Saccharomyces cerevisiae S288C: one gene and its partner. The protein of the gene in region 1 interacts with the protein of each later gene in a pairwise test. Each region holds a gene or a part of one and is shown on either strand. Other genes may lie near its edges.

What was found.
Region 2: the proteins of SER3 (region 1) and CST26 interact in a two-hybrid assay, tested with the Saccharomyces cerevisiae proteins (one large-scale study listed by BioGRID).

What each region holds. Positions count from the first base shown.
Region 1 is NC_001137.3:320,649-324,411, reverse strand, and holds SER3 (phosphoglycerate dehydrogenase SER3), read right to left. Parts: upstream 1,727-3,763; coding exon 317-1,726; downstream 1-316. Other genes in the region: UTP7 (Utp7p), read left to right, coding at 1-140; AIM9 (Aim9p), read right to left, coding at 2,566-3,763. UniProt on the Saccharomyces cerevisiae protein: Catalyzes the reversible oxidation of 3-phospho-D-glycerate to 3-phosphonooxypyruvate, the first step of the phosphorylated L-serine biosynthesis pathway. Also catalyzes the reversible oxidation of 2-hydroxyglutarate to 2-oxoglutarate.
Region 2 is NC_001134.8:319,834-323,234, forward strand, and holds CST26 (putative acyltransferase), read right to left. Parts: upstream 1,777-3,401; coding exon 583-1,776; downstream 1-582. Other genes in the region: long-chain fatty acid transporter FAT1, read left to right, coding at 1-442; QDR3 (Qdr3p), read right to left, coding at 2,043-3,401. UniProt on the Saccharomyces cerevisiae protein: Acyltransferase with lysophosphatidic acid acyltransferase (LPAAT) activity. Fatty acyl substrates include 18:0-acyl-CoA, 16:0-acyl-CoA, 17:0-acyl-CoA and 14:0-acyl-CoA.

The sequences.
Region 1 (3,763 bases):
TTGATGAAAGAAAATTAAGAGTACAGAAACAACTGGATAAGGAGAAAAATATTCGTAAAAGAAACCACCAAATCAAACAAGGCCTAATTTCAGAAGACCACAAGGATGTCATCGAAGAGGCATTGAGCAGATTCGGCTAAATCGAAATATCTTTAAAAAAAAAACTTAAATGATTATGTATGTATATATAAAATAGATAATCATTATTATTGCCTCAAGCATTCTTCTATCCATTTTTTTTTTGGTTCTTTTTAATATTTTATAGGAAACTTTTAATCATGTTCAAAAAGTTGACAGTATGAGAATCGATTGCATATTAATATAGCAATCTAATTGAGATCTTAGCAGAGGTTTGATTTAGTTGTTCATAAATATCTTTAATATCGCTTTGGTCAACAGAAGAGATATCAGCCATTAAATAAGCAATTTCACCATTTGAATCGGAAAATTGCTTTTCGATGTTATGGTTCGATAAAATATCATTGACGGTCTTCAAAACACCTGGTACATTTTGGTGAATGTATAACACACGCACAGTGTTCTCTTGGTCGTAAGACAATGATTTCAATGCCACTTCTGGGAAGTTGACTGAACCGACAGAGTTACCTTCATTGATGTATTTGGACAATGCGGTAGCCACTTCAATACCGATTGAGCTTTGGGCTTCTTCGGTAGAGCCACCAATGTGTGGTGTCAAGATGATATTTGGTAATGAAACTAATTCAGAAGTCCAGCTATTTAGCTCATCGTTAAATGAACCTTCACCGTTCTTAGCTGGTTCATGTGGATAAACATCCAAAGCAGCACCTGCAATTTTGTTGGCTTTCACGGCTTGGATCAAAGATGGAATGTCCACGACAGTACCTCTTGAAGCATTAATAACATAAGCGCCATCCTTCATAGCAGCAAATTGTGGGGCAGATAACATTTTTTCAGTTTCAGGAGTAGCTGGTACATGTAGTGTCACAAAATCAGATTTATTCAACAATTCATCTAATGTAGAAACTTGTCTGGCAGTACCCAAGGCCATGATAGTTACAATATCGTAGTACAACACATGCAAACCCATAGCTTCTGCAAGAACTGATAATTGGGAACCAATGTGACCGTACCCAATAATACCAAGAGTTTTTCCTCTTACCTCCCAACATCTAGCAGCAACCTTATTCCATGTACCGGTATGTAATTCGATAGATCTATCACCTAGTTGTCTTGCTAAACTAATGATTTCAGCGATGACCAATTCTGCTACTGATCTTGAGTTGGAGAAAGGCGAGTTGAAAACAGCAATACCTCTGCTGGTAGCGTAGTCTAAGTCAACTTGGTTGGTACCGATACAGAAACAACCAATACAAACCAGATTCTTCGCATGTTGTAAGACATTTGAAGTTAATCTAGTCTTTGATCTGATACCAATAGCATGAACGTCCTTGATCTTTTCGATCAACTCTTCCTCGGGCAATGAAGATTTATAGAATTCGACTTGGTAACCTTGCTCTTCGAAGATTGTAATAGCAGTTTGATTAACGTTTTCTAATAGTAAAATCTTCATATCACCCGTTGAGAAAGGCTTCAAAATTTTTGGGTGCTTTACAGCATTCAAGCGCTGTGGAACGGTATTCATGAAAGATTGCGTAGGTGAAGTACAAACAGCGCCTGGGGAGCCGCTCATATTCATAGCTTGTTGAAAGGTATTTTGTAAGTTGTTAATGTCAATGCTTGTCATTGCTGTCGATTTTTCTGTGGTTCTTTATAGAGTTCTGTATTTTTACTAAGATAGTTGACAAGTATCAAAAAGTGAAATAACTAGAAATGGTTCTTCCTTTATATACATAACAGTTTTAAGAATTTCCTTATCCTCTGCTCCCTCCTTCCAACAAAGTAATTACTCATAACTTGGATATTTGTCTGATTTTTTCATCCCGCTCAGAAAACCCTGCACGGGCAGCGTTGCATTTTCTTAATTTTTTTCTCGTGGTAGAAGTCAAGGACAATAAATTGCGAAATTAGGTGGGAACGAGAAGAATAATTAAAGTGCTGAGACCGAAGTTGTTCCCCTTGAATTCCATTTGTGAGTAAATATCGAAAATGGGTCCACAAAAAAAATTAGGTTTTTCTAAAATATTAGGTCCAGCCTAACTGCTTAACCAAATTTTTAATTTGTGATATTTGCACATAGCTTGGCCAAACAAAGGCATTACTCGATTGTGAGTAAAAAACTAAAACAATGTAGATAATCAGGATTAAACAATGGCATTTCTATGGATTTGTTGTTCTCTTTATATATTTGAGGAAAATTCAAAGATAATGGGGAGAAAGGTGGAGATGTATCTCCACCTATCGTAAATTTGAAAGTTCCGCTTTTCCGCCAATTGCACCCAAACATCACGCAACGCTTTTTAAAACGTTATCAATATATCCAATCCAGCATTGTTAAGTTGATTAGTAAATGGAAGAGATTCCATTGTGTACAAAAAAGGGTTTTAACTTGATTATTTTGTTATAACGTTCTATACAGTTGAATGAGGTAAAGAAAACAAAAAAATATTTCATTTTTAGTATAGATTATTTGGTAGCTTCAGGTTGCTTCACGGTGTAGTCTCCGTTCTCTTGCTTAACAATACTGCCGGAATTTAATAGTTGATCAAACATATCTTGAGGAATCCACCCTTGAGTGGCAGCAAATGGTGTAGAGATTAGCTTTTCGTGTAATTTTTGCAAATCCTCAACATGTCTTTCAATATCTTCTTTACTATAGTTTAGAGGAAACTTTTTCTGATTCACTAACTCATTCTGGGCAAAGATGTCCCAAACTTCCTTCAATTGCAATAGTGATTCATCAATAAGTAAATACTCTTCTTCCGTTTTTCTTTCGACAGCTGCAATATATGGGCTTCTCAGTAGCTTAACAGGTGGGGCAACTGCAGTAATTAATTTAGGATTATTGTCATTTAATTTTTTCTCCCATTGATGTTGATTACGGGTGCGCTTGTACATGAACTGATATTGCACCTTTTCCGCCTCAGATAATTTGTCAAAATCGGTTATGTCCTCCTTTAAGTCATAAATCTTGGGCCCATCATAGGCGATGAATTGTGGCGAATTCTGTAAAATGAAAGGTTTTGTGCATGCTCCTTCAAAATCTAATAGATAGGCTTCTTGTGCTTCTTTGTTAACAATAATATTCATGGGGTCTAGATCAGGATGAAACAAACGTGGTGACAATAGTTCCTGCATATTTGGAATGGCCTTTGTTTTGACGTTGAATAAATCCGGGGCAATCTTAGCTAAATTTTCATAGGTAGTTATTTGCTCCTTCAAAGTTCGAGGATACATCAATTCAGCTGAACTTCCTGCCTCTTTCATGGCTATTCTAGTTTTAGCATTTTCAGCTTCCAATAGGCCAGTATTTTTAATTATATCCATTGGAGACTTCTTTGGCCATGGTCCCAAAAAAGGTTTCATTTGTTTATGAAAATCCAAGTGAGATTTATGTCTCCAGAGACATCTTTCCACGGATGGCCCAATTTTCCATCTGTTTTGTAGATCCGGATTAGTTTCCCCATCGTATATGTCTTCCTTAACAAACTCCTTCTCATTTCCGTCTTTTAAGTCATTGTTAAAATATATGGATCCAAATGCATTTAATTTCAATGACACTAACTTCGACTGAAAATCAGAAACTTGTTTAATAACATTGTCATATTTTTTTTGATTGGAGGAACCGTCTTCAATCAATGGATCCCAATCTTTCATCAAGAGT
Region 2 (3,401 bases), on another chromosome or scaffold:
AATGGGTGATACTTTCAGATGGAAATCTGAAAATGTTTCCACTACTGAAGTAGAAGATCAGTTGACGGCCAGTAACAAAGAACAATATGCACAAGTTCTAGTTGTTGGTATTAAAGTACCTAAATATGAAGGTAGAGCTGGTTTTGCAGTTATTAAACTAACTGACAACTCTCTTGACATCACTGCAAAGACCAAATTATTAAATGATTCCTTGAGCCGGTTAAATCTACCGTCTTATGCTATGCCCCTATTTGTTAAATTTGTTGATGAAATTAAAATGACAGATAATCATAAAATTTTGAAGAAGGTTTATAGAGAGCAAAAATTACCAAAGGGTTTGGATGGAAATGACACTATTTTTTGGCTCAAGAATTACAAGCGCTATGAAGTCTTGACCGCTGCTGATTGGGAAGCCATCGATGCACAAACAATTAAATTATGATTTGATGTTCCTGAATTAGGATAAAGTATTTTTCCTTGCACGAGAGTACGTATGTAAACGTAATATTGATAAAGAATCAAAAAAAGTTTTATATCTATCTATATATGTACCTAATAACATATGGAAAGGATTATTTAAATTCAAAAAATAAAACAATAAAGTTTATAAACTAACCAAATTATTGTTAGAGTTGGTAATATTAGCACTTCAGTTAACTCAATACGATTGATCTTGAAACTATCGGTAACTGAATGGTTTGTTTCAGGATCACTTACGAATGATCCAGTGGAATAGTACCTTTCCATTAGAGCATCCTTCTCACTCCAAATTTTATACAGCCATTCTGAAAATTCATTCTCGTCCTCTAATGGAATATCTTTAACATCAAATGCTCTGATGTGAATATCGACTAACTTCGGGTATTTTCCTTCTAAAAATATGCTCTTCAGCCCATATATAAGCTCACCATATTCCTCCTGTTTTACACCGGAGTAGCCGATCGTAATATCATAAAGACTTTCAATACTTGGCTTCAACTTTTGTAACGAGTATCTTAGGCCTGTAGAATGAGGCAGTAGCACATTCTTGAATGGCTTTTTGCCTATTTTGGCAGCATATTTAGCACTTTTTTGCCTAGTATCAGCACTGAGATTTGTACCTTCAGGGAATAGGATAAGATTGTATGGCCAATGGATTTGTTTTGGATCAATAACCTCCGGATTCCATATGCTCTCTCCTTCCTCAGTTATGCGCTCAGGTGACTTTCCAGCAAGTGAGCCGGCGCCCCTTGCATTCGAATCAAGGCCAGCAAGGCTGTTGCTTAGGGTTATTTTGTCTTGTGCCCACTTTCTACTCATAAAAATGAAATTATAGTTTCTCATACCGAAACCGAGGATAGGAATGGAAGCCAACGATTTTTTTAAAATAATGAAGACATTAGCCCCTAAGTTCGATGTGTAAGCCAACCACCATAAAAATATCCAATCCGTGTATATTTGGTGATTGCAAATGGCCACCGAATTGGACTTTAGATGAGAAAGAATCCTTTTCTTCTTCAAGTCTAAAAAAAAAGTACCTTTAGGAACACTGGAATTTTCAGTGGTAATTCTCACTGCAGATGGTGCGACAACATGCAAAATGGATGATACCAAGACAATAAATAATCTTTTGGTTTTATTGAGACCAATTTGTTTCCTTATATCATTTCTACAGTAAAGAGTCTTATAGGTGAGTTGGAGAAACAAAAGAATAAGGCATCCCTGGAAGAAAATCAATAAGGAAATACCTGGGACGACGACTTTTCGAACTTTATGAGCTATTTTTTGATGCAGCATCAGCTTATTGACCTCGCTAGCAATCTCAATACCAGTGGACCTGATATATCCTTTTTTTTTGTTGGCTAGTGTTCATTAATGATCTTTCGCGTTTATATTTCTTTTTCTGATGAGTTTTTCGCCTCTTGAGATGTTGTTGAACATTATTTAATAATACTTTTAGCACAATAACGATTTACCATAAACTAAAGTAAACTATGTATGTGCCACCCTATGAAAAGTCTACAATGAAAATATTTACGCTTCCGTCTTATTAACCGATATGATTAATCAATTTTGTCGTACAATTTTTGTAAATCGTAGTTCTCTCTCCAGTAATCACCGTGCTTTTTCAGTATTATAAGTACACTGCTAGCACCCAAGACGATAAAGGCCAGCATTGTGAAAGCCCACCCAGTTCCCATACCGTTTAACATGGGTGTGGTGACAAAGACTGCGGTTGCAGCCAAGATTTGCCTTATTAAATTATTCAAAGCAACACCGGTGGCACCCTTTCCCGGCAATGAATCGACTAAATAGGAAAGGGTAGCACCAATTGTCATCATAGCTGCATATCCAAAGAGGGCTGTTCCAATTAGTGGCGTTACCCAGTGGCATTTTTTATCTAGGCACCAGCCAAATATCAATAGCGCAATGGGGAAAGATATTACAGATGTAACAACATTCCACGATATACGAGCTTCAGGAGCAAGAATTCCATATTTCTCTTTGTATCTTTTTAAAAGCATGTCCACCCAACGTCCACCGTAAATTGAGGCGAAAAAGTATGTTACAGAATTCGGAATATACAGTAGACCAATGTATAATGGTTTAAAGTTGTAAGGAGGCCTTGAATATTTATATTCAACTGTCATATTAACAAAGTATACTGTGGAAAAGGAAATTGCGGAAAATGTTATTGCAAGTGCCACGGGTGGATATTCTAGGAAGTGCAATGATTTTAAAGGCTTGATAAAATAAACAAAAAAGGTGTCCCAGACCTTCCTCACCGCTGATACCTGTTTAGGAGCGATTTCACCTCCATTACTGGATAGCACTTTTTTGACTTGCTCTTCCAGGTTGGTTTGTAATTTTCTCAGACTATTTTCTCGAATCGATCTCGCTAACTTTGGATCTGTTGATCTTATTCTCGTAACTTGTGCTGTTGTTGCATCGATACCGCTATCATCTAGCTGATATTCATACAGACTTCTACTCGCCTCTGTATAAATCCGTTGCAATTGGGTTTCTCCAGCTCGACCATCATAAGTATTGGGGCTAGAGTGACTTTCTAAATCTAGCGAGTCTTGATCCCTTACCTCTCCAACGTAGTTATGCTTCTCAGTAGATAATGTGGCAACTTGGTTTTCAATTCGATCTGTCTCATCTTCTCCCCTCTGATAATCTTCTTGTATCTCTCCACGTTCGTTATTGTCTACTTGAATACGTCTTTCAGCCAAAATTTGAGCGATAGCGCCTTTAGAATCTTGTTTTCTTAATGTTTCAGGTAGTAACACCGTCAAAAGAATGACATTACATCCGGATAAAATAACCATAAACCATTGAGTGGATCTCCAGGGCCAGCGATTCACTAACAAAGATCCAAAAATTGGAGATAGTAGCGGCGCCAGTAGTGGACCCAAATA